7 linked regions of the Xenopus tropicalis genome follow. The protein of the gene in region 1 interacts with the protein of each later gene in a biochemical or structural test. Links are inferred from orthologs where the notes say so. Each region holds a gene or a part of one and is shown in the gene's direction. Other genes may lie near its edges. The genes, in order: sumo2, top2a, pias1, tpr, sobp, daxx and smchd1.

Region 1 (4,088 bases):
CTCCCTTTTGCTTGTGACATTTGTATTGTCATCCCTTTGTTGTTTACAGATCTCCACCTTACAAGCAAACTCCAAATGAAAGAAAATAAATGCCCTTATAACCATGTCCCAATATGCACTGCTTGTACCCTAGGCAATTTTGGGTGGGTTTTAGGCCTTTTCATTTTTGGGGGGGTAACTATGAGGAGCAGAAGGCTGTCAGTGTTATTAACAGTAAATAGGGAAGAAAGACAGTAAATCCCAGTGTTGGAATGAGGTGTGTGGGGTCCACCACCTCAACAGACGGTTTTTCTCCTATCGTTCCGCTCGTCCAGTCCCACCCTGGGAAATGGCTGTATTTTATGTCCCTAAAAGGGCAGCCACCTTCCATGATTTTTATGTTTTGTCTGGAAACTTTGGATATGGTTTGGATATGATTTTTATGTTTTGTCTGGTAACTTTGGATATGGTTTGGATATGATTTTTATGTTTTGTCTGGTAACTTTGGATATGGTTTGGATATGATTTTTATGTTTTGTCTGGTAACTTTGGATATGGTTTGGATATGATTTTTATGTTTTGTCTGGTAGCTTTGGATATGGTTAGCTTCTCTATGTTTTTGGTATGTATAACTTTATTTATAAAGCGCCACAAGGATACGCAGCACTGTACAATCTTACAATATACACAATTACCCACAGGTAGGGCAAGTGTTATAATAAATTTCAATAAATAAGTATAAATACACAGGGAGTAAGTGCCATGGGGTATGAGACACAGTAGGAAGGAGGTCCCTGCCCCGTAGAGCTTACAATCTAAGTGGTTGGGTAACATACAGGCACAAACTGGAAGGTAAGAGGCACCAGGTATGGGCATTTGCCCTTAAGTGCAGGACTGATCAAAATAAAGTTTTAGTGAAAAGGTAACTGGTATGGCAACTGGTATGGCTTCCTCCTTTGGCTTAATTATAGGGGGGGCTGTTTCTGGAAGCTTCTATCATGGCTCCTGCCCCCTCTATGAGACTAGGCCAATGAAGTCACTGGAAGGGATTTAGCCAATCCCGGGTACAATGCGGCCCAACCTCACCCTGACTCTCCTCAGAGTCAGACCCCTCCCCCCATGCGCGCCCCCGCCGCCACGTGCTCCCCAAGGCGGGCTTTTCCCTACAGTGGAAATAGCGGCGGGGGCGCGCACGCAGAGAGTGCGCCAAATCTTCCTTTCCGTACGTGCGCGCTCTCGTTCCACGTCCCGCGCCAGTTCAGGCTCTTTGTGAGGAGGAGGCAGCAGCGAGAGTACCGGGCACCGGGAGCGAACTGACAATGGCGGACGATAAGCCCAAGGTCCTGCTCCGGGCTGGGAGAGGGAAGGGTCGCATAGCGGGCTTGGGGCCGGGGGCAGTGGGTGCGGGGCAGGAGGAGGGAGAGGCCTAGGCGCTAAAGGGAGGGGGCAGCGGCCTGCGGGCTGTGCGGGGGCTCTGTGGGTACGGGAGGGGCCCGTAGGGAGACAGCCGGGAGAGGGACGCCCATACTAGCGGGGCTTGGTTATGGGAGGCTGCACTGCATTGGCCCACTAGGTTTATGGGGAAGGGAGCACAGGAACCAGGGAGCACTGGGGAAGGGAGCACTGGGGAAGGGAGCACTGGGGAAGGGAGCACTGGGGAAGGGAGCACAGGGGAAGGGAGCACTGGGGAAGGGAGCACAGGGGAAGGGAGCACTGGGGAAGGGAGCACAGGAACCAGGGAGCACTGGGGAAGGGAGCACTGGGGAAGGGAGCACAGGGGAAGGGAGCACAGGGGAAGGGAGCACAGGGGAAGGGAGCACAGGGGAAGGGAGCACAGGGGAAGGGAGCACAGGGGAAGGGAGCACAGGGGAAGGGAGCACAGGGGAAGGGAGCACTGGGGAAGGGAGCACTGGGGAAGGGAGCACTGGGGAAGGGAGCACTGGGGAAGGGAGCACTGGGGAAGGGAGCACTGGGGAAGGGAGCACTGGGGAAGGGAGCACTGGGGAAGGGAGCACTGGGGAAGGGAGCACTGGGGAAGGGAGCACAGGAACCAGGGAGCACAGGAACCAGGGAGCACTGGGGAAGGGAGCACAGGAGCCAGGGAGCACTGGGGAAGGGAGGACAGGAACCAGGGAGCACTGGGGAAGGGTATGTTGGGCACTGCCAGTATTGGGAGATGGGAAGTAAATGGGAATGGGCGACCTTGGCTATACTGGGAATAGGGATATTAGGGGGGCCTGAGCCCAGGTATGTTGTGGGGGAATATACTGGGGCTGGGAATTGGGAGGTTAGGGGGCCCTGAGCCCAGGTATGTTGGGGGGGGAATATACTGGGCCTGGGAATTGGCAGTTTAGGGGGCTCTGAGCCTAGGTATGTTGGGGACATATACTGGGGCTGGGAATAGGGAGGTTAGGGGGCCCTGAGCCCAGGTATGTTGGGGGGGAATATACTGGGGCTGGGAATTGGCAGCTTAGAGGGCCCTGAGCCCAGGTATGTTGGGGGCATATACTGGGAATTGGGAGCTTAGGGGGCCCTGAGCCCAGGTATGTTGGGGGCATATACTGGGGCTGTGAATTGGGAGCTTAGGGGGCCCTGAGCCCAGGTATGTTGGGGGCATATACTGGGAATTGGGAGCTTAGGGGGCCCTGAGCCCAGGTATGTTGGGGGCATATACTGGGAATTGGGAGCTTAGGGGGCCCTGAGCCCAGGTATGTTGGGGGCATATACTGGGAATTGGGAGCTTAGGGGGCCCTGAGCCCAGGTATGTTGGGGGCATATACTGGGGCTGTGAATTGGGAGCTTAGGGGGCCCTGAGCCCAGGTATGTTGGGGGCATATACTGGGGCTGTGAATTGGGAGCTTAGGGGGCCCTGAGCCCAGGTATGTTGGGGGCATATACTGGGGCTGGGAATTGGGAGCTTAGGGGGCCCTGAGCCCAGGTATGTTGGGGGCATATACTGGGGCTGGGAATTGGGAGCTTAGGGGGCCCTGAGCCCAGGTATGTTGGGGGCATTGACTTTAGGGAATGAGGTAACTTGGGGAGAGAGGAATTCAAGAATGTTGAGTGGGAAAAGATGTAGCCTCTGGCCAGTGAGAAGGGCAAGTATTATGGGAGAGCTTAATGGTGGGAAAATGGGTATGCAGGGCTCAGTGCCATTAAATAGAGTTAATACTGGCCAGAAGCCTAGGTTATGTTGGGGGCATTCCATGCAGAGTAAGGGGCATAAGGGTGAAGACACACTGAGCTACTAGCAGCAACTAATTTTTTACAGCTACAAAACACCAGAAAATCCCCTGCCTTAGACAGTATGGAGCGTTGCGAAAACAGAGAATTATCAGTAACTGATTGGCATTGAATATTTTAGTAGCTGTGACAAGTAGCTGCTACTACTGTGTGTCTTCGACCTAAGGAAGGAGAATTCTTAGTATGGAAGGAATTTTAGAATTGAGGAAGTAGTGTAGGTAATGGAGGAACACGTGTTAGAAGCAGGAAGGGTAAGGTGCATTAGGCACAGTGGAAAGAAAGTTCTGAGAACTTTTAAACTTGTATTAAGTCTTTAGATTCAGGGTCTGTGACACTGTGAAGCAGTACCATGTTATTCTGCATACTGGCCCTCAATGTGATATTGCTCTCTTAATCACTGGGACCTGTTAATTGGGGACCTAGAGACACAGGCAAGCGTACTGTAAGGCTAATATATACGATGAGGTTAGGGGCTAGACCAGCTTTTGTGAGTGTAGTTGTAAGTTAAATGCCTGTGCAGTCAGTAAACATTCCAGAACTGTAGCTCCCAGCAGTGACTGTTGTTCTAAAGGGAACATTTGGTGTATTTTGTGTAATGACATGCAGCCTTATAACTTCTGTGCTCCCCATCTTTCTTCTTGTGCGTTGTGAACACATTACCAAATGTAGCATGGTCCCCGGCCAGATCTAATATAACTAGAGTTCTTTTGTCATTTGGTGCCAAAGTATTCTCTAGAATGGGGTGCAAAGAGCTCATTTCTCACAACGGGATGAATAACCACAAGCGTTACCAGTGTTTCTGTGCCATGATGCCCCTTCCCAGCACTCATTCCACTTTTTACTTCTTTTAGGAAGGTGTTAAGACC
Region 2 (3,500 bases), about 36 Mb from region 1:
TAAAAGCAGATATATGCAAACCTTTTTACTATTCTACAGGGTTTGATTAACTTGAAACCACACCCATGTTATCACATGACCATACCCATATTAATGGTTGTAGTACAGCAAAAACCTGCCATACTCTGCCTGCCCTACCCTGCCTGTGTGTGCCATACTTTCACTGTGTGTGCCATTCTTGGCTGGTTTGTGCCATACTTGGCCTGTGTGTGCCATACTCTGCCTTCCCTACCCTACCTGTGTGTGCCATACTCTGCTTGCCCTATGCTGCCCGTGTGTATGGCACACACAGGCAGCCTACAGTGACACAATGCTGGCACTGCTCCTACAGTCTGCACAATAAATATATATTAAAAAACTTTTTAATTGCAGTACCACCTCAGTATATGTTCTTTTTGTAGTATGCAGGGATTATTTGTGGGTTTCTACTGCTCCTGAGGTGTGAACAGGGGAACACAGTTTAATAGGTTCTTCTACATTACATCCCAGAGGCTGGTTATCTTCAAACTCAAAAGGCTCTAAAATCATTACAAAGATTTGGTTGTCTGAATAAAAGACCTTTCAAAAAGTCTTAAATGGCAAAGAACTAAAATAGTTCTTTAGAGTTGTTTTTCCATCTTAAGTGAATTTAGTTGTTTGGGTTTGACTAGGAACAAATGTGGCTTATTTGCCAATTCTAAGATGGTTAGATATTATGACCAGTAGTGGTCGGCAGATACAAGCCCATGAAATGTCAGCCTTATATAGCCATATGGTATGGTACCATAAATCTCTGCTACAGCATCATATCTTGGTGTGTGCTGGGCTTCCATTTTTTCTTGCTTTCCTGGATTATGGACCTGGCCAGTTTAGGGCGTTACACCACTGGCGACAGTCAGATACTATACTGGGGGTGCTTCCAAACATACATTACTGTCTCCAGAAACCAACCCTTCTTTAATTGTGACTTTCAGTGGTCGGATAACTCATCAGAGATGTTTGCTTGGGTTTTACTGCATAGCATTTACTTATTACTAAATATGGAGTTGCCTTGATGTTGGTTTGATAATATTTAAATACTTCCACCTTCTCTAGTGGTGAGTGTCACTATCTGGCATTTCCAATAAATGCTGTCATTTTGTTTTTAGAACGCAGAGCTTCAGGACCTGAAAAAGAAATCACCTTCTGACTTGTGGAAAGAAGACCTTTCTGCATTTGTTGAGGAGCTAGACGTAAGTAGTAACATCTATCCTTCCTTTGTCTATTTGGTATTTGTTGCTTTATATAAATTGCTGCGGTTCCAACAACAGGAGTTGTGTTCTTGCTTTGTGACAGCGTGTAGAAGCCAAAGAAAGGGAAGAACAGTCCGTAACAACAGGCAAAGTGGTTAAAGGAAAGAGTGGGAGACCGCAAGTAAAGAAAATGCAATTGCAGGAAATTATGCCATCTCCACATGGCAGGCGTGTTGTCCCTAAGGTCACAACAGCCATGAAAGCGGAAGCCACCAAAAAGATGAAAAAGAGAATTAAGGTAAACGAGCGTTTCTGTATAGATTTAGGTTTGCTTGGCTCAACAATAACTGGCCTTTTTGAGCATATGTATATATAGAATATGTATTGACTTTTGCATTTATAAAATGTACCCAAACATTTGCCATTTGTTAGGGTGAGGATGTTGCTAAGAAGATGGATTTCGAAGACGATGGTGAAGGAGACAGCTTAAATTCACCAGAACAAAGTCCAGAGAGCCTAACGCTTGCCGAAAGATTAAGCAAAAAAGTTAAAAAAGAGCCAGGTGTGTAAATGGTTTTTAATGAAAGCTTCTCTGTTTGCATGCTGGTGTTATGCTGCAATCTAACATTTCTATAACTGCTTTTACATAAAGGCGCAAAGGCTGTCAAAGACAAGAAGCAGGCAACGTTACCCTTCAAGCCAGTAAAAAAAGAGGCAAAGAGCACATTCCAGGATTCAGAGAGCGAGTCCGAGGAAGAAGTGGTGCCACGTGCTGCTCAGCCACGCCGCAATGTTGCAGGTGAGAAATGCTAGTAGCAAATTTACCTCTGCAGTCTGAACACAGTTGGGGTTTTATGAACATAGTGTTTAACATGGTGTTAGGGCTTCCCGACAAATGCCTCTGATGCAAGTACTGGTGCAAAAAGGGGGCCCTATAGAGGCCAGTGCTGGGGGTTTTTTTGTTTGTTTTTAGAGCTTCTTTATTGTTTCATTCATTCATTTACTGATAGTTGCCTAGGCCTGCTATGGAATGTGTTACCACATAAAAGGGTTCTGCTTGATAACAAATGTTTTTATTTGCTTCTAGCTAAAGTGAACTATATGTTGAGCTCTGATGAAGACGGTGAAGAAGAGGGAAGCGGCATAAAGATGCCTCAGGAGAAGAGTGACAGTGAATTCAGTGATTTCAACCCAAAATCTGATTCAGAAGATGAATCCTTTGTAGTTGCAAAGCCAGCCAAAAAGCCCAGAGCTGCGCCCAAGTGAGTACTCTCCCCTCCCTTTAGGTACAAATCAACTTAAGCCATTTCTTGGTGACAATTTTGTTTCCACCATTTAATGCTGCTTACTAAAAAAAGGATGTGATTGGAAACTACCTTACTGGCATCCTGATGGAAATTGGTAGCTTCTAAATGTTAGTATTATATAGACAACATGCATTTTTTCCCTGGCAACCAGGTAGAAACTTGAATGAGGGGGAGTGATTTAAAAAACTTATAAAAAGTAACAGAATTGCAAACATACAGAGTTGGTGACTACTGATTTAAAGGCTTTTTTTTCTGTAAGATTTGATGTTTTGTCTAAAATGGTTTAACTTATTTAACAGGAAAGCTAAAAAGATTGAAAGCCCAGAAAACTCTCCACAGAAAGACAAAGCAGGTATGTTTTATCAAGAATAGCTGCTTGGGATATTCACATAGTAATACATTACATATGGCAACGTGTTTTGGGGGTTTTATGAGCCCAGTACAAATGGGACCACAATGAAATAAAGGATCACACATGTATGTTTACCCCAGTTCAGCCATATGTTGGCTTGTTTTTCTGCTGCAATGAAACATGCTATATTCATAGATAACATAACACAACATATATTAACCATTCTGTATCCTGGCAGATCTGAGTTATGTCTTGGTATTAATGTGACTGGTTCTGTTGTATTTTTGTCTAGCTCCAGTAATTGCATTAGATGAAGATGAGGATACTCCCATAATGACCAGTGCTCCCAGCGCCCCTGCACCGGCTCCCAGTGCCAAAGTGTCAAGTGCTAAAGTGGCAGAGAAGAAACCTGCACCTAAAAAACGAGTCCAGAAACCGAAGACTGGTGAGAACTTCTGTTTTGCAATATATTAAACGTGGGCAATTTTTTTTGTTTAAGTATCTTAATATCCAAGTTTGGCCCACTACAGATCTTTACTGCGTTTGCCGTGACCTTGTGTATACAGAAGTATGCCGATGTAAAACACTTCATTTCTGGTGTTTGTATCACAGTAAATATAATAATAATAA
Region 3 (3,500 bases), on another chromosome or scaffold:
AACTCTTTCTCTAGTAGGAATGGAGACTTTGTAGCTCGTGTGTTGATATTTGTGGGTAGTAAAAGGATTCCTTTTGTTCATGCACTGGTGCATCATCTGAGTTGCATAGATCCACACGGGCCTGTAATCTTTTGTATTAATTCTTTTGTTTTTTCCTCTCCAGGGATATCTCTGGGACAAAATGTGACTTCACAGTACAAGTGCAGCTCAGGTATCTTTTCATTCACAAAATATGTTGTGGCAAAAGGGTTTGTGTCTTTTCACTTTCCACTGTGATGTCTCTTTTTGTAACAACAGTTTATATTTTAAGTATTCATTTTGGGAGTAAAGTAACCTATTAAGGAATCTCTCCAAACTGCTCTATATCTATATGTAAAAGGCAGAACTCTGTCCACTAATTTAATTCTTAAAATGGCATTTTTCTATTTAGGAGTACCCAATAGCACACACTACTAAAGTATATTTTTATGAAAATGGTTTACATAGATAAAGAAGGGTTTTACATATGATCTTGTTTTATGCAATATATTTTTATAGAGACTTACATTGTTTGGGGGTATAGTTTTCCTTTGATATAATCTGCATCATTTTAGAAATAAAGTTAAATGACTAAATTAAGATCAGACTGCTGGGGTTATTTAAGTATCTTAGTCTTCTCTTAGCCCATGAAAAGGATGTAAAGTGTTCTTTTTAATTTAGTGGTCCAATCATAGTGTTATCAATGCCACTATTTTAATCCATCAGCCTGGGGGTAAACTCCTTTCTTTTTTTAGGTTCTGTCTCTCTGAGACAAGCTGCCCCCAAGAAGATCATTTTCCACCAAATCTGTGTGTAAAGGTGAATGGAAAACCATGTAACCTTCCAGTAAGTGAATCTCCTTGACTTTTCTTTTATTGTGTGCTTTGTGTCTCATATACAAAGACTTTCATTGCTGTTGCCTTGTTTACAGGGGTATCTTCCACCAACTAAAAATGGGGTTGAACCAAAGCGACCTAGTCGACCAATCAATATTACCTCACTTGTACGGCTTTCCACAACAGTCCCAAACACAATTGTGGTGTCGTGGACTGCAGAAATTGGAAGGGTAAGACTTCCAGAACTCATAACAGCCAGTATCTACATGTGTATTGTGCGTTTTAGGTTAGTAAGACACAGTTGTCTTTACTGAATTGGATAAATGGTTATTTCTGTTCCGTTTCTTTAGGTTTATGACTTAGTTCACATTAAATGGCCAGTGACCAATGTCTGGCTATATTATGTTTTCTTTTAAAGGTCTTCCCCCCCCCCCCCTTTGTTTTTTTTGTTTTTTTTTTTTATAAATTCCTTTCCTTAATGTTTACTGAGTGGGAAAAGACAGAAAGATACATATTCTCATCAACTATAAATTACTTCTAAGGATTTCCAGTTTCATATAAAAGAGCAGTACCTTATTCAGTGTTGTGTAGATTTCTGTTGCTTACTGAGTTTTATTTATCTTTAGAATTTTTCTTTGGCTGTTTATCTGGTGAAGCAGCTTTCATCGGCCATCTTGCTTCAGAGACTGCGAGCAAAAGGAATCCGCAACCCTGACCATTCCAGGGCTCTGAGTAAGAAATAAACTGCTTATTTTGCTTCTGGTCTTCTTATTTTCTCCTTTGTTCCCTGAAGTGATTGAATGAGCACTGTCAACTAGGTTCTTTTCTTTTCTCTTTTCTGCAGCCCTTTGACTAGGAAATAATACAAAGTAGAACATCTTGCTATTCGTTTTCTCATCCTTGCTCTATTCATCATTGCACATTGTATATTTTTTTTTTTTATTTGATGTTAATGATTCATCATACCGTACTCATGCCTTTTTAAAGAGGCACATGAACGATACGTCCCATAAATAGGCATCAAAACTAAAGGCAAAAACCTCATGCCTTCTACCATAACCGAAACACACCAGGGGAAATTACCTATATAGCATAGTTTAAGAAAAAGAGAACATTAATTTTAATTTCTATCGTGTTGGCAGGAGGCTTTTATGAATATTGAATACAGGAATCCTTTTTTTTTTTTTGTTTTGTTTTGTTTCTGTTTCGTTTTTAAAGCATTGTCTGAGCTACCGGGTCTTCTGTAGTAGCCCAGCTGTTTTGTCAGTGAGGGCATGCCACACTAGGACCATCATTTGTTTTTGTAAGTTAAATTGGGTTTACACAAGCCATTTATTTTCTTTTCCTGAGAGAATCTTTCTTGAGTGGCGGCACCATACACAGAATTTTTTAGTACTACAGGTCACCATTTTCTACAGTTGACTTGCTAGTGATTACTCTAATGCCAGGAAAGAGGCTTGGCTACTGAACGTTGTCTGCATGCTGGGTCTACCCCAGACAGATGTGATAGCAGCAAGTTCAAATACCAAGGATCCTTAGATTTATGGTAGGAGTTTTCTGGAACAAAGAATATAACAATAGAGTAAATACAAAATGTAGATGATTCCACCTCTTTGCATCCTACCCAAAGCTTTATAAATAAGGCTACAACCAAAATATATTAGTAGATTTGTAATTTCTAAACCGGAAAACATTGCCAGACAATGTGATCTTGACCATAATGACTACACAATCTGAAATGCTCTAGAAATGAAAAGTGAATAAAATATATCAATGCAAGAATTGTACAAGGAATCAGTCAGCTTGAGATTGTTACAAGTTTTTTTTTTTTTTTTCTCTCTACTATGGGTCAGTGATCCTAGTGGGTAAACTGTTTTTCCCCAAATCAAATGACTGGTATGAGATCAATTATCCAGAAAGCCCTAAATAATGGAAGGGTCATCTCCCATAGACTCCATTTTAACAAAATAATTCACATTTTTAGAAATTTCCCTTTTTCTCAGTAATAATAAAACAGTAAGATATAATTAATCCTTACTGGTAGCCAAACAATCCTATTGAGCTCATTTAATGTTTAAATGAGTAGATTAGTAGACTTATAGTATGGTGATCCAAATACAAAAAGATCGCTTATCTGGAAAACCCCCTGAGCATTCTGGATAACAGGTCCCATGCCTGTACTTATATAATTACATTATATATTCTTTTTGCTTTCCCTTTAGTTAAGGAGAAGCTCACAGCTGATCCAGACAGTGAAATCGCCACAACCAGTTTACGTGTCTCCCTTCTGTGTCCGGTAAAAGCCTTTTGATTACTTTTGTAGCCAATCTGAAACCTTTCCCTGACTGTTATCCAATCTCTTATTGTAAGAATTGACCTGTTGTTGACAGCAGTGTCCTATCTATCTCATAATTTTCTTGCATGCTTCTGTTCTAAAACTTCTGTGAATCATTTTATTTTACTCTGCAGTGAAGCAGGCTCCGTAAAACATATCTTTATATTTCTGTAAAATAATTTATTTGGATTTGGTATTTATTCATCAAAAAACCTGCATGCCAATTATTTAGAAAATTATTTGGAATTCTACTTAATTACACTTCCTTCTTTAACCAACAATCTGTCATGTTGCTGCTTTTTCATTTCAGC
Region 4 (3,500 bases), on another chromosome or scaffold:
CCGTCTGCACTTTTAGCAAGTAAAGAAACTGATAGCTGCTGTAATGCATCTCCAGGGTGGAAACCCAGCATTTTAAGCAAATCATGGGTTTCAGACTTTAGGCTGACGTTGGATGCAAAAAATATTATGCACTTTTGAGCCCCTGAAAATGGGGAGGCTATGTATAAAAATAGTGCTAATTCCTAAAACGCTCATATAATAATTTTGTTAAACCACTTAAAGTTGCCCTATCACACTAAAATTGCTTCCCCCACCAGAGGTGCAGAATAATAGAACCCGCGCTTCGGTTGAGGGAAACAGTCTTAAAAAAAAAAAAAATAGGCTCCTACAGTATTGAGTCTCACTAATGCGCATGCTAAATAACATGGCCGCCCGCTTCGGGAGGTTCATCCCTGTGTGGGCAGTGACATATTTAGCAGCACTTTATAGATGTTATACTCTTATACACTGCCCAAGTGGAGCTTACAATCAAAGTATATTATATTGTATTACTTACACATAAGTCACACTGACTCCATTGTCCAATTTATTTTTATATCTGGTTGAAGTCAGGCTGTGCTATTAAAGCTTTCTTTCAAATGATCTATATATTTTTGGCTTTTCTGACTGCTACATACTTGCTACATAACTGTAGGAGGAAGTGTCCCAGATACAGTCACGTTGCGAAGATCTAGAAAAACAGAACAGACTGCTTCATGAGCAGATTGAAAGCCTCAGTAAAAAGATGGTGAGCTCTGTTCAGGAGGGAGCGTTGAATATATCATTCGGTGAGGAGGGCAAGTCCCAGGAGCAAGTAATGGAAATTCTCAGGTATACTGTTTTATTGCATAAGAAACTCCTTATTTGGTAAAATATATTTGACTTCTGAGATTAGATGAGCCACTTGATACATTTACCTTACATTTAAATTGGATATTGTATATGCAAATAAGGTAGTTTATCTATTACAAATTGAAATTCTATAATTCAGTGGCACATGCCATGTAACTTGCCTTACTGTTATTTTTGAGTTTCTCCAGAAGAGGCATATGTGTCCTGCCAGTTCAAAGTACTACTGTGGCAAAATGCTTTTGTTGTCAGTGCTGCAATGCCAATGCTGTGTGTATTTGAGCATTTCTTATTTAAACTATATGCAGTTTAATGTTATGCGGGTTCTGACTAGGGATATTGCAACAAACCATCTATCTACCTATCATTCTTCTGAGAACAATGCAGGTGTAGTAGTTACCTGCAATGCTTGGCACCTGGTGTTCTGGAATTCTGAGGTTTCTCTTTAATTTGAAGCACCCGGGGTGGTTTTGCCATCTGTATGGATTTCATATCTTTGTTATAATCAACTACTTGTACCTTCTGGTTATTATAGATGAAAAGCAAATCTGGAAAAAAATGCTTGTTTGAACAGGGCCATGCGGGAATTTATAGTGTTGTATTATGGTGTTTTCTAAATAATGGGTTTCCAGATAAGTGATCCCATACCTGTACTAGTCCATTTTAAATATTTCCACACTTACTGAGGGCCTATAGTGGGCCTTATTATCCCCGTAAAAACTGAATTATAGCCATGGTAGACGGGGAGATTAGTCGCCTGCGACTAATCTCCCCCATATGCCATCCCACCGGCTTGAATGTAAATCGCCATTGGGATGGCATATGCAGTGCTGCAATTTCCCGAAATTGCGGAAGTTTCCTCTCAAGGCATCTTCCGTGATTTTGCGAAATCGCAGAGCCGTATATGCCATCCCACTGGTGATTTACATTCAAGCCGGTGGGATGTCATATCGCGGAGATTAGTCGCCCGCAACAAGCCCGTTTTAGATGAGAATTGGAATAAAAAGCAGTAATTTGAGTTCTGCCCTCAAAAGGAAATCTCAATAACTTGATAATGCCATAACAGAACTGTGCAAATGGTGGGTAGTCTGCACCGTTCTTGGCTCATTATCTCGAGTGAAATGCAACCTATTTTGTAGATTTGTTCGGCGGGAGAAGGAGATAGCCGAAGCCAGATTTGAAGTTGCACAAGTTGAATGCTTGCGGTACAGACAGCGCATAGAGCACATGGAACGGGAAGTGCATGAGCTGCAGGACAGCTTGAATGCTGAGCGTGAGAAAGTGCAGGTAGGTTGTCTCTTGCTTTATGCTAGATTTCTTCAGTCTCTTGGAGCATGTATCATTGATATTGGCATGTTTATTTACCAGGCATCCTATAACAATCTACTTATAAACCATGTGGCCCAATGCATGGTACACTGACAAGGAAGTGAAGGGGAGCTGTCTGGCTCATAGTACAGTATCTGTCTGTTTAGGCTGTGGGCTAATTTGGTTTGATACTGTACATAATCAGTGTTTCTGTTCGCATCCATACTAACATGCAGCACAGTGACAGTGGTGGAGGTACAGCTGTGGATTGTACCTGCCAATTAACGTGTCATCTGAAAATATTTCCCCCAGAAATATGCTAGCCATTTTAAGGTACAATCCAAGCAAATTGATATGGGTTGGTTTAATTTAAAGAGAGCCCGTAACTATTTATACTCCTACTGCATCTTAAATCCTGTAGTGTGTCTACCTATCAAATAAACCATTATGGTACTTTATGTGTGACTTCCTACTTGCATGTAACATGCAACAGTTTGTGATGTAACTTGCACTCTTCAAAGGTAACTGCCAAGACCATGGCTCAGCATGAAGAACTAATGAAGAAAACCGAAACTATGAATGTTCTAATAGAAAGTAACAGGATTTTGAGGGAAGAGAAGGAAAAGCAAGAACAGGAACTGCAGCAACTGCAAGCAAAGGTGAGTGAGGAACATAGAAATGCTTTTGCAGCTCTATCATTGGACAGTCCTTCTGTTAAACTTGCCCTGGATGGTGGTGGTACTGAAACTTTAACCTTTTATTTGGCATGCAGAAAGTGCTGCAATAGCAGTTGAGGTTTGTTTTGTAGGTTACTGCTGTGTGAATTATTGGCTTCATGAAGTTTAAATTGTTGTGAGTTGAAATTAATAATTTGGATAATACTAATATTTCAGATACGTAAACTTGAATCAAACATCCTGCCATTGCAAGAATCCAATGCGGAGCTGAGTGAGAAGAGTGGAATGCTGCAGGCTGAAAAGAAATTATTGGAGGAGGATGTCAAGCGCTGGAGGGCTCGAACACAGGTCTGTCCCGCCATTTTATACATAGAAAAGCTAGCTAATGCTACCATAGTTATGTATTATAGTTCATTGCACATTAACTGAATCATTATCGAATAATAACTTTGCATATTTGTATCTTTGAGCCATTTCCCTAAACCTTCTGTATTCCAATATTGCCAGAGCATAGGGCTCATTTACAAACTGCAAGTTGTAGCTGGCACAGCTGTGTGTGATGGTCATTTTGACGCAAATCGGAAGTTTCACTGAAAAGATTAGGAGTATTGGGGAAATATAGTGCTCTGCATTAAAATAACATTAGCACATGATTCATACTGACACAGGTCACAGAGGGAAACCTGT
Region 5 (4,164 bases), on another chromosome or scaffold:
GGCAGGAGAATGCCGCTCTCTTACTTGCCCTTATCTGATCCCACAGCCAGGGCTGAATCTCTTGCCTAGTCACAGAGTGCAAGTGACTCATAGAAACGCTAGCAACTCACACATTATTATAGTAATGCCTCTCACTGATTTTTTTCTGCTTTTGTACACTCAGGTGGAGAGCTAAACAATGGCATCTGTCTGGGGAGCAGTGCCATAACCAGAATAAAATCATATTAGGGGAACCTTAAACACCAGGAATAACACAATTCTGCTAAACATTACCTAAAAATTGTTCGACGCTGATCCCAATATCTCCTGGGCCTCTCAGTGTTCATAGGACCTGCTATTTTTGTAGGTAAGTCCCTGCTGGTGGGAATAGCACTTCTGTACACAGAGCACCCCTTGCATTTATAAGCATTGAAATAAAACATTCTATCTATGGGCATTTAAAAAGTAAAGACGTTATAGAATTACAACTTGTGCTCCATGTGTAATTGTGCTCAGGAATGGGGAGATTGGAAATGTCACTGCGTATAATGGGGTATTTCACCCCAGAAGGGGCATGAAACTGAAGTGCATATTGGTTTTACTGTCTCCATTATTGTTTATTTATATAGGTGGTTGTGCAGGGTTTTACATTTACAAAAATCTGTGTTATTACAATGCCCTAACGAATAAAAATAGGATCTGAGAGTCTTACTCAAAAGTGCATAAAATCTATTTCAACCTTATTACTGCTGTGTGAAAACCAGTGTGGTGTGGTTGGACTGCCATTACTATACTGCCATAGACTGATGAGGGAATCCATCAAATGGGGCTGGTGAGTAGGAAGAGAGGAAGGAGGCTACTCGTGGCACTATCCCAGCCTGACTCCCACCTCTCCCAGATGTGTCCAGCAGCGCTCCTGGCACATTCTCTCCATCAGTGTGTGAGTAGGAGGAGGCGCAGAGGAACATTTTGGCAGGCGCTCCTCCTCCTCTCTCACAGCCTGGGAGGGACAAACCCCCTCTACTGTTCTACACAAGGAGCTCTCTCTCTGTCTCTCCTCCCTCTCCCCCTGCTACAGTCACACAAACATACACACACTGCCATAGACACAAAGCAACAAGCCTGACACTCATGCACACTGAGCCATAGGCGGAAGATGGCTGAGCTGACAGCAGGGCACTCACAGCCCCTCAGCCTGGCATCACCAGCCCTCCCTATACAGCTCCCTCCTCACACAGTTCCTGACGCCTTTCACCTCTGAACACATTGGGTGGGTGGGGGGGAATCGCCACTTCCCATTACTGCTCCCCCCAAATCCCCCCATACACTTTATAATCTAGCAGCCATTTCAGCAGTAGAAGCAAGAAACACGCACACTAAAAAAAATGGCAGAAATGGAAAAAGAGGGGAGACCCCCAGAAAATAAGAGAAGCAGGAAACCTGCCCACCCTGTGAAAAGAGAGATCAACGAGGAGATGAAGGTAAGAGATGGCACTGTGAGATTAGAATGGGGCTCCTTCTATTCCTCTGTTGTTTGTTGCAGTATAAACGCCGGGAACATATAATATATGTGTATATAATGTTAGTGCTTGTCATTTTCTGTAAGATGCGCTCAATGGCACAGCCCCGCCTCCTGGGCTGAAAACAGAGACAGATTCACAGTCCGGAGCGCTGATTTTGCTCCACGGGAACACGTTGCTTATTGTATCGCCAGCCTGTCACTTTATTCAAAGACTTTTTTACAGGCAGGTTGTGCTTCCATATTAAGAACCCCTGCTTCCTCTCGCCCTCCTATCAAATTGTCTAGTGCATACATTTGTCAATGGGGGGTTAGAGTGGTTCTTGTGCATTTGTTGTATACCTGCGTCGGCTGAAGTTGAGAGTTGCAGTTCTTCAACAGGTTTGTACCTTTGTAGTGCCTTTAAAGCGAATGCTGCAATAAGTGTATATGTATTGTAAATGAAAGTTGAAGCTACATGATCCTTTCTGTTGGTAGTCAGATACCTGTCATGGACTGGATCAGCTATTTTTGGAAACCCAAAAGGGGTTGCTTATGAGATCCTGTTGTATGAGACTGGTCTTCCAGATGTTAGTGTGGAACCTGCATCCCACCAGGTCCTACTAAGCTCACTGTGCTGCTACATAGCAGAAGATTGCCATGGTGTATTCAGAAATCTGTGTCGATCCAGCTCAGCAAGCAGTATCCCTTGAAATAAAATCTAAAAGTGAAGGCGTTTAACTAGCATTTATGCTTTTCTTCTGCTGATTGTACAGGCATTAAACCAATTTAGGCCTGAGTGAGACCCAGTGTTTTAATTTCACCCTGCTGCTTTTATAAGCTACTGGATGTACTAACAGCTAATTGGCAAGAGACTTCCATGTGGAACGTTGGCTTGCTTACATATAACAGACCCTTACTGTATATGTCTATGTTATATCTTGATGGTGTATGTCTATGTTATACTGTACCATTTCTTCTTCTTAGAGAAATGGTTTGCTACATAGTAATGAAAAGAAAATAGATTACTTGTCATGCTATTCACACATGTTGCCAGGTTGTAAAGACATGGGCAGTTGTATGGTGATCAATGAACACAATCATGACTCCTGGTGTACTAGGGTCTATTTTTTTGTATTACTTATATATAACAAAACTTTACTCATATGAGAACATATTAATAGAAATGGTTAATTTTAGCTGTTGGTTAACCTACCTACTTTCATCACCGCCAAGTTGCCCAATCTATCACATTGTCATTGGCAGCTTTGAGCCATCGCTTAATGTGATCTATATGGATTGCAGCTTTTAACATAGGTTCTAGAATTACAAATTAGCTAATTTTAATCAAAACATGTGAAATGTTATCCTGGCTGGATATAAAGGCTGACTGTGCTGGATCCTCTGGGTTTGTTTTGTTTATTTTGGCTGCAGGCACACTCGGTGGTTTGGGAGATAGCTGTTCTTCATAGCAGATGTTTGTCTGAACTGGTGGGGTAGAAACAAAAACAACATTGTGTGAAGGGAAAATTACACAATTTTGAACTGATGCTTTGGTATTAAGGACTAAACTTAACAGTATCTCTGAGAATTTCCTTTTTACAGTGTTCTGGTCTTGGGTTGCTAAAACATACAGTAGAAAGGGTAACAATATTTTTGCATTAGACATCTTTAGATGTGATAGAAATCAGAGCTGTTTGTATGGGGGGTCTTAATAGGGGAAGGCTACCTCCTACTGCACATAGTAGGGCTATTAGGATAGGTAGGGACAATGTAGGAAAACAGGTATAGTAGAGCAATATGGCAGCAGTAGAGCAAGATGGAGACAGCTTTGGTATTGTCCATCCTGCAGCCCTTCAGTTTTTATTAAAGGCACAACTTCCAGCTGCAGGTAGTGAGTACTGAGTGAGTTATAGTTGAACAACATTTGAAGGAGTATAGGTTGGCCAGTCCTGTTTTGTATAAATACTGGGACCCTACTACTACCAAAAATAGCCCAGCAGAAATATTGCTTAATTATTTCTAGTGATTAACCATTGCCCTCACTGCATCTCTCTCCCCTGCCCTGGAATTGCACTGTTTCAGATTCATCATGCATAGCCACAATTCCAAGAAAACAGTTAACTTTCCACCAAGGGGATTATTTTTGTTCTGACCAATCAAGTAATGCAAGAAGGCTCCATCTATATGGGGCTTGGAATACAGTAACAGCAAAGTGGAAACAGTGTAAAATGAGTTTGAGACAAAATGTCAAGAGGGACACAATGTGCTCTTGTGTAGTTTCATATCTGTAATGTTCAAACAGCCTGGCTATGTTTCCCTTCATCTGAACAGCTTTCATCTGGGCTAGTGTAAAATAAGCCCTGGTAAGTAATCACTGCAGAGCAGAAAGAAAGGAATGTATACAGCAATAGACGGTCTAAGCTGTAAAAACTGTAACCTGAGCATTGGCAAAGGATCGGGTATCAAGGCTTTAAGGTAGGGGAAATGAAAGAAATGAAGAAGAGGGAAACACGAGAGTGGGAATGGAAAAGTCAGCTTGGAAAGTAAAGGGGTAGGAGGAGGCCCCCCTGAGGGAAATTTGGCCCAGGGATTAGGGAATTTTATCATGGTGTACAGTGACCTACTCAAGTTTCAAACCACATTGGATTGAGTTGCCTCTCTCTGCTAACAGAAGAAAAAGAACT
Region 6 (4,249 bases), on another chromosome or scaffold:
ATACAGGGGTATGGGAGATAGCTCTCAGTACAAGTGAGGGAATACAGGGGTATGGGGGATAGTTCTTAGTACAAGTTGATCCAGGGACTGGTCCGATTGCCATCTTGGAGTCAGGAAGGAATTTTTTCCCCTCTATGGCAAATTAAAGAGGCTTCAGATGGGGTTTTCTGCCTTCCTCTGGATCAGTGCTGTCCAACTGGCGACCCCCTCTGTGTGGCCCCCCACCTGTCTGGCTGCTTTGATGGCTTACCTTTGTGTAAACTTTAAATGGTATCAGTACTGAGATTAACTGCCCCCCTGCATTGTTCTCACCTCAGATTCAGGCTGTAAACCCCTGTATTGTTTAAAAATGTAATCCCCTGTGTTGTTCACACCTTTTAATCCCTGCATAGCTGACCTATGCTGTCTGTGTGTATGGCACACACAGGTAGAGCAGGCAGAGTATGGCACACACTGGCAGCATAGGGCAGGGAGGGTATGGCACACACACGCAGCTAAGGGCAGGCAGAGTATGGCACATGCAGGCAGCATAGGGCAGGGATGGTATGGCACACACAGGCAGCATAGGGCAGGGAGGGTATGGCACACACAGGCAGCATACGGCAGGGAGGGAATGGCACACACAGGCAGGGTAAGGCAGGCAGAGCATGACACACAGGCAGCTAAGGGCAGGCAGAGTATGGCACACACAGGCAGGGAAGGGCAGGCAGAGTATGGCACACACACGCAGCTAAGGGCAGGCAGAGTATGGCACATGCAGGCAGCATAGGGCAGGGATGGTATGGCACACACAGGCAGCATAGGGCAGGGAGGGTATGGCACACACAGGCAGCATACGGCAGGGAGGGAATGGCACACACAGGCAGGGTAAGGCAGGCAGAGCATGACACACAGGCAGCTAAGGGCAGGCAGAGTATGGCACACACAGGCAGGGAAGGGCAGGCAGAGTATGGCACACACAGGCAGGGTAGGGCAGGCAGAGTATGGCACACACAGGCAGCTAAGGGCAGGCAGAGTATGGCACACACAGGCAGGGAAGGGCAGGCAGAGTATGGCACACACTGGCAGCATAGGGCAGGCAGAGTATGGCACACACAGGCAGCATAGGGCAGGCAGAGGCATACTTTATGGTTGAACTTTATGGATATATGTCTTTTTTCAACCTAACTTACTATGTTACTATGTAATGTAACACAAGCCAGCAGACTGAGAGAGCTGTCTTGCTGCAGGAGATGAATCAGTACAGTTTTACCAGTAAGTCATACCTAGAGCCTCCCTAAACTTAAAAAGATTACTGTATCAGCCTCAGTGCCTGGACAGCAGTACCAGCACCATAGGGAAAGAGACTGGGTTATGCTAATTGTACTAAAAAACAACTCATTGCGGCTCAGACTTCCCTACGCAAGGTTACGTTACGTCGCAAGCACCGCCCACTTTCTTACACGGAAACGGAAGCAGATAGTGGAATAGCTGAATCTAAACGGGACCGGAAGCGGACGTTGAGTGGGACTGGCGCGATAATTTTCCGATTATACCGTATGTTATTTGTGTTTGGGAATACGATTTTTATAATATAGTCTGTGCGCCTATGGTACTACGTGTGGCAGATTGCTAAAAATTCGGCTACTCACCAAGGTAATCACCTGCTTATTTAGCTTTCTATATATTGGGGTGGTATTGTAGTAACAAAAAGATTTTGGAAGAAGTCTTGTAACCTGACAGGCGTAACATTTGGCAGCAGTTAAAGACAAGTAGAGAAGTGTTCTGTGTCCGTGCAAATGCAGTTGGTCTGTGGCCCTGCTAGCTGCCTTGGAACTCCCGTCTGTCACACACATACGGCAGCCGCGGTGGCGAGATGTTATAGCTCCATGTGTATTTAATGGCATTAAAGCTATCTGATTATTTTATAGACATTAATGTTGTGTGCAGACTTATTGTAGGGACCTCCTTCCCTTTTTAATGCGAATTATAAAATAGAAAGTGAGAAAAAGGGAGAAAAGCAAAGAAAAAAGAAAAAGAAAAGCCAAATGTACCTTATAAAATGGTAGGGCTTTGTTTACAGCCTCTATCTGAATCTATTCCACTAAGTATAATTTCTTTTTTTACATAGAACTATACAGGTAGAAGGAAAGTATTCTGCAGGAGGTGATTCCAGTAGTCAGACCTAAAACTGCAGTTGCTGGGTTGGGTTCTATTTTCAGGACCATTCCCTTAGAAATAAAAGCTAAGATCAGGATTCAATAATCATGGATATCCGGACAAGACAGTTTTACATGTAACCAGGCCCCAGGACCACCTTTACATCTGGGGCATGTGCCCCTTGTTTGGGTTAAGATCATTTAAGCTGTGCCCAGTGTGAAATTTTGGGTTTCATGTCCACCACAATGGGATCAGCATTGTTTAGTTTGAAAAGCTTTATGTCCTTCGTCGACATTTCACCTAAATATTAAAGTTTATTAACCCAGAAGAGGGGGGCATATATGGGGGTAATTCAGGGACCCCCATTTCTATTTTCCTCTTCCTACATCACACTTAGCTTTAGAGTTTAGTAAATCCTGTAGCATTAGTTTACATGACTGGCAAACCTCATTTTCTGCTTTATAATTTGTGAGGACCCCTAAGCTTTTTAACAGCTGCCCATAGCCCACTGAGCGTGTGAGTGTCACCGGCACTTCTAACAGAAGATGGGGAGCTCCTGTCATGAGTTTGAAGGTCTGGATCATTACTAATATAGAGATGCTGAACCTTTAGGCTGGTCCAATAATTTCAGTTTCTAGCCATATTACTTTTTAGGGTATAATTATTCTTTTAAAGGACATGTAAACCCCACACACAAAAATTTAATCAGCGAACAGCCTCTTTGAAATCTTTAATAGTAAGGCTGCAACATCTCCTTAATCACTTAGATGCTCCTCCTGTAACCCACTCGGCCCCCACCCTCAGGAATTTGCTTTGACTTCTGGCTTGTGGACATGCTCAGTTGTTCTAAGCTCAGATTACTAGACACGCCCTCCAGTCTTAGCAGCCAGTGAAGAGATGGCATTGCTGGTTCCCATAGAAACTCAGCTCTAGCTGTCTGCTTCAATTTTTTTCTCCTAACCTCCTCTCCTGAGCTCAACTCAAACAAAGCAGAACTTTTATCAAAGACAGTTGTGCCTGTGTAAGCCTGTATTCTTGATGGAATGTATGCTGAATAAGGGTCTGTGTGTGTGTATGCTGTTTGCATATTTAAATGTATCTGATTATGTATTAGAGGAAAAATGGCCACCAGGTGAAAGCTGCTATTTGCTTTAGGAAAATGTGATGGTGCTAGCAAGCGGAGAGGATATATGCAGTGCAAATGATGTCATTTGGGTGGGGGAGACGTGCCCAACTGATATACATTGTAGGCAAATGTAGGGTTTACATGTCCTTTAAGTATACAATTCCTGTAGAAGTGACTGGAAAAAAAACATGAAGCAGCACGTGATCTCATTCAGCTCATTCTTGTTGAAATTGAATATAAAACACTAATATCCTCACCAACTTATAAAGTCAACTGGCTGAATAGCCAATTCACAATTAAGTGCAATGCAGATTGCACTGTTTTTTTGTGCAGCTATTTAGTATATATCTGCTTAGAAGTCTACCAGCACATAATTTTATGAAATATATTTAATTGAGGTCAACAGTGGTTTCTACACAACTTCCAAGAATCAGAAAAGATAAAAATGATTTGGCCTTACATAATGTATTTCCAATCCCTCCTATCTGGCATTGTATCAAATGAACTGAGGTGTGAAGTTGTGGAAAATCTATTTTTAAAGTGGTTGTACCTGCATTTACATTAGTTTTAAGAAATGGATGGATGACTTTTTAGGCAAATAAAAAAAGCTCCTGCCTCATTTGCGTTTAGGCGGATATCGGCTACATGTGCCTGCACCCGAGCGTATTCAATTCATTCGGGTGCAGGCACAGGTAGGGGGATTTTTAAGCGTATAGAGCATATTCTCAGCATGCGTTTTTCGGCTTGCCAAAAATATGCGCCATATGCTACGTGTGGGCCCAGGAGCCTCAGTAAACACCCTCACCTGACCATAGGCTAATATACGAATCACTGCAACTAATCCTGCAGCAGTTTGCGGTGTGCTAATTAGTTGTCGCATTTCACCTCCTATTTCTGCACCCTGCCATCCTCTCCTACCTTCCCCAACATTTATAGTTTTCATTTGTTTTTTTACTAAATTGGGTATGTCTAGCTAAGATTTTT
Region 7 (3,500 bases), on another chromosome or scaffold:
TGATAAAATATATGAAAGACATGGCTGAACCAGGAGAAAACCGATAATGAAATGTGGGGAAGACATAACATAACTACCTAAAAATATCCCTCTTAGTAATTTTAGTCAGGACTCTGGAGACATATTTTCATCTTATTTCTAATCGGCCTTTTTGTTTCAGGCATATCTATCATTACTACCTCCATGGGCCAAAAGGAAATTATTTCAATAACAGGAAAAGCAGTTCATTGCCATCCACTAATCTTGACATTGAGGTAAATCATATTTTTTTTGTATACATAATGCATCTTTGTTTTTGGCTGATCTGAAAGGGGCCTTTAGAGTTTACCACTTGTGACTGCTGTCTAGATCTTCAGTTTCATTTTTGTAATACTGCAGGCAATGGGTAGGATATTAGTTAACCTAGGTAAAATGTATGGAGGTCATTCATTCTAACATATTTTTTTTTTTTTCCAGTTCCCAAATTAATAGTCATATAGTGTGATAAATGAACCAAAGACATCCTTCAGATGTCATTAAAAGAAGCCTATTAAAGAATACTGGGCTATAATAGAAGAGTAAATCAAAAGGAACGGAGGTTATAGGAATCAACTCTTTTGATATTTTATCTTTTTGCTTCATATGGTAAACTGGCACAGCCTATTAAACATCTTGTTGTGAGTGTTGTTTCAGTAGCTTGAAGTAGTACTACTTTGTAAGCAAGGTAAGGATTTAACTGCAGCATGGCACTGATTAAAATGGAGCCATGAAACATAAATTATGCTGCAGCATTATTTAGGTCTCTAACAGCTGATGCTATAAAATGTATGACCTATGTTTGGCATTCGGTTCAAGAATAACTCCCTTCATTCAAAATGAATAGCAAATCTACAGGAGCACTAAGGGGCCCAACTATGAATAAACCTCAATGTTTATACGGGACCCAAGGAGTACTATGGTAGTTAATCCAGGTTGTTGCAGTTCCTCCTACCTGTTAAACTGACAGAACTTCACACTAAATTTTTTTTGGTTCCATTGCTTATTATTTACGGAGAAAGAAAGGCAAAGTCACTTGGGGTGCCAAAATGTTAGGCGCCCCCAAGTGACTTAAATCGCCTACCTTTTACCCCGGGCTGGTGCCCCTGTTCGGAGAGAACAGCACCAGCCCGGGGTAGCTGCAGCGCTTCCTTCTTCCTGCTTCAGTGCGCGCGCATGTGCAGTAGAGTGAAAAGCCGAACTTTAACAGAAAAGTTGGCTTTTCACTCTACTGCGCATGCGCCGACCGCTGGCATTTTTGGAAAAGGAAGGAGGAAGCGCTCCGCTACAGGTACCCTGGGCTGGTGCTGTTCTCTCCTAACAGGGGCACCAGCCCAGGGTACAAGGTAAGCGATTAAAGTCACTTGGGGGTGCCTAACATTTTGGCACCCCCAAGTGACTTTGGCTTTCCTTCTCCTTTAAGCATAAACTCTCAACACTTTTTTTGTCTTTTAATATAAAACTCAGCCATCACTATTTAGCTTAGTTTATTGTTTGCTTTGTTTTTACATTACATATATTTTTTCCATGACTTTTAATTTATATTTTTTTTTGTAGAATATCTGTATGCAGGTCTGCTGTGGGTTATTTAAAACACATCATTTTTTTTTTGTTCTGCTTTTTCCCAGTTTTCTTTTATTGTAAAAAATTTGCAATAGCAGCTTTTTCTATTATAAATGCCTTTTTTATTTTACAGCTCTCCTTGTTTGAAAAGGGAAAGTCACCAAAGATTGTCAACCTAAGAGAGATCAAAGATGACATGCAAACACTTTATATCAATACTGCAGCTGACACATTTGAATTTAAAGCCCTTGTTGAAGGCGAAGGGGTTGTAGAAGGTGTTATACGTTACCACCCATTTTTATACCACCAGGAAACCTATCCGGAAGATCCTTATAAGACAACAAGTAAGTAAGGCTTGGGTATCTTTCAGTTAGCAGCTATGTAAACACCAATTTAAAAAAATGTATATGCACCATACATGGCATATATGAAATTATAATATTTTTGTGATCTACTTCTACATTCTTGAATACAGTCTCTAAATACATTTTCAAATAACTTCTCCTCTACAGTTATCTGTAAGTACAAGATTAAGATGCAAAAAATAATAAAAGCGTTGGGGAGCACTCACTGCTCTAGATATTTTCTAATATTTACTAGTGTTTCAACATTCCCAAACAATAGCCATGACTATTTTTGGCATCATTTGCTCATGCTTTTACTCCTTTCTTCTATTTTAGATTACTAGTCCACTCCAAATACTACTAGGCCACTCCAAATACTGAAATTATATAAACTTTAATCCAGTGGGCTGGTACAGTACCGAAAATTGGAGTCTGGGAAGATTAAAATTAATAGCCTAGCTTTATCCGAAGTCTTGTCCCCAAGTACTTTTTACTTTATTATTTCATGAATCTGGGTCTTGTTCTCAGTTTTTTGGTCAAATGTTTGAAGACCATGTATTGAGTGCTTATGCCAGACTGTTTAGCCTCTTTGTTGCCTCATGTTGCTTTGAGTATTAAAGGAACAGTAACCTGTTGCTTTTGAGTATTAAATGAACTAACACTAAAAAATGTTTTAAAGTAAATAAAATATATTGTACTATTGCCCTACACCAGTGCTGTCCAACTGGCGGACCCCTCTTTGTGCCCCCCCCCCCCCCCCCCCCCCCCCCCACCTGTCAGGCTGCTATGACTGCTTACCTTTGCATAAGAATAAATGGTATCAGTACTGAGATTAACTGGACCCCTGCATTGTTTACACCTCAAATTCAGGCTGTAAACCCCTGCATAATTTAAACATATAATTTCTATGTACTGTTCACACCTTTTAGTCCCTGCATTGTTCAAACCTCAGGCTCAGACTGCTGTAAGCCTCTACATTGTTTTCCTTTTTACACCCCAGACAGACTGTAGAGGCAGTGCCAGCATTGTGTCACTGTATGTACAGCATAGGGCAGGCAGATAATGGAACACACAGGCAGAATAGGGCAGGCAGAGTATGGCACACAGGTAGTACTCTGCCTGCCCTACGCTGCCTGTGGGAGGTGAACCTGGCAGGGATTTGTTCTGGAAGTTTGTTAGCATTTGGAAATAGCCATTATATGGTCCCTAAGGTGTGTTATTATATGCGTGGGATTGCTGTGCTATCCAGAGTGGTGGAGGAGGCATATGGATTTAAGGGTATGTCTTAAAATTACATAATATAATTCTTCACATATGAGCAAAGGGTGATATCCCTACAGTGAACACCAACCATTTGGGTTTTTGCTGCTCTACCACCATTAATGTGGGTATGGTCTATTCTTTAAGAGGCCTCCATGCCTTGAGATAGAGTGCCTGTTCCTTAAAGATTGATTAAAAGGAGAAGGAAAGGTATTTTGGCATTTTATTGCCAATAGATTAGTCACAATAGTGCAAGCTAGAATTCTATATTTATTCTACAGAATGCTTTACCATACCTGATTAAACAGCCATTGAAGC

The links.
Region 2: the proteins of sumo2 (region 1) and top2a form a complex in vitro, tested with the Homo sapiens proteins (2 studies listed by BioGRID). The link is inferred for Xenopus tropicalis from reciprocal best matches to the Homo sapiens genes SUMO2 and TOP2A.
Region 3: the proteins of sumo2 (region 1) and pias1 form a complex in vitro, tested with the Homo sapiens proteins (4 studies listed by BioGRID). The link is inferred for Xenopus tropicalis from reciprocal best matches to the Homo sapiens genes SUMO2 and PIAS1.
Region 4: the proteins of sumo2 (region 1) and tpr form a complex in vitro, tested with the Homo sapiens proteins (2 studies listed by BioGRID). The link is inferred for Xenopus tropicalis from reciprocal best matches to the Homo sapiens genes SUMO2 and TPR.
Region 5: the proteins of sumo2 (region 1) and sobp form a complex in vitro, tested with the Homo sapiens proteins (2 studies listed by BioGRID, with this or other methods). The link is inferred for Xenopus tropicalis from reciprocal best matches to the Homo sapiens genes SUMO2 and SOBP.
Region 6: the proteins of sumo2 (region 1) and daxx form a complex in vitro, tested with the Homo sapiens proteins (4 studies listed by BioGRID, with this or other methods). The link is inferred for Xenopus tropicalis from reciprocal best matches to the Homo sapiens genes SUMO2 and DAXX.
Region 7: the proteins of sumo2 (region 1) and smchd1 form a complex in vitro, tested with the Homo sapiens proteins (2 studies listed by BioGRID). The link is inferred for Xenopus tropicalis from reciprocal best matches to the Homo sapiens genes SUMO2 and SMCHD1.

Annotation. Positions count from the first base shown.
Region 1 is NC_030686.2:44,411,113-44,415,200, forward strand, and holds the start of sumo2 (small ubiquitin-related modifier 2 precursor), read left to right. Parts: upstream 1-1,288; 5' UTR 1,289-1,298; coding exon 1,299-1,319; intron 1,320-2,029; exon of another isoform or gene 2,030-2,266; intron 2,267-2,613; exon of another isoform or gene 2,614-3,471; intron 3,472-4,073; coding exon 4,074-4,088. UniProt on the Homo sapiens protein: Ubiquitin-like protein that can be covalently attached to proteins as a monomer or as a lysine-linked polymer.
Region 2 is NC_030686.2:8,636,589-8,640,088, forward strand, and holds part of top2a (DNA topoisomerase 2-alpha), read left to right. Parts: intron 1-1,127; coding exon 1,128-1,211; intron 1,212-1,314; coding exon 1,315-1,509; intron 1,510-1,643; coding exon 1,644-1,773; intron 1,774-1,863; coding exon 1,864-2,010; intron 2,011-2,298; coding exon 2,299-2,473; intron 2,474-2,817; coding exon 2,818-2,870; intron 2,871-3,162; coding exon 3,163-3,315; intron 3,316-3,500. UniProt on the Homo sapiens protein: Key decatenating enzyme that alters DNA topology by binding to two double-stranded DNA molecules, generating a double-stranded break in one of the strands, passing the intact strand through the broken strand, and religating the broken strand.
Region 3 is NC_030679.2:117,674,199-117,677,698, forward strand, and holds part of pias1 (E3 SUMO-protein ligase PIAS1), read left to right. Parts: intron 1-163; coding exon 164-211; intron 212-773; coding exon 774-864; intron 865-949; coding exon 950-1,084; intron 1,085-1,480; coding exon 1,481-1,586; intron 1,587-3,076; coding exon 3,077-3,150; intron 3,151-3,499; coding exon 3,500-3,500. UniProt on the Homo sapiens protein: Functions as an E3-type small ubiquitin-like modifier (SUMO) ligase, stabilizing the interaction between UBE2I and the substrate, and as a SUMO-tethering factor. Catalyzes sumoylation of various proteins, such as CEBPB, MRE11, MTA1, PTK2 and PML.
Region 4 is NC_030680.2:119,736,954-119,740,453, forward strand, and holds part of tpr (nucleoprotein TPR), read left to right. Parts: intron 1-634; coding exon 635-810; intron 811-1,967; coding exon 1,968-2,115; intron 2,116-2,657; coding exon 2,658-2,795; intron 2,796-3,029; coding exon 3,030-3,161; intron 3,162-3,500.
Region 5 is NC_030681.2:78,843,763-78,847,926, reverse strand, and holds the start of sobp (sine oculis-binding protein homolog), read left to right. Parts: upstream 1-1,364; coding exon 1,365-1,460; intron 1,461-1,681; exon of another isoform or gene 1,682-1,879; intron 1,880-4,164. UniProt on the Homo sapiens protein: Implicated in development of the cochlea.
Region 6 is NC_030684.2:72,202,352-72,206,600, reverse strand, and holds the start of daxx (death domain-associated protein 6), read left to right. Parts: upstream 1-1,449; 5' UTR 1,450-1,635; intron 1,636-4,249. UniProt on the Homo sapiens protein: Transcription corepressor known to repress transcriptional potential of several sumoylated transcription factors. Down-regulates basal and activated transcription.
Region 7 is NC_030682.2:107,280,104-107,283,603, reverse strand, and holds part of smchd1 (structural maintenance of chromosomes flexible hinge domain-containing protein 1), read left to right. Parts: intron 1-160; coding exon 161-254; intron 255-1,711; coding exon 1,712-1,922; intron 1,923-3,500. UniProt on the Homo sapiens protein: Non-canonical member of the structural maintenance of chromosomes (SMC) protein family that plays a key role in epigenetic silencing by regulating chromatin architecture.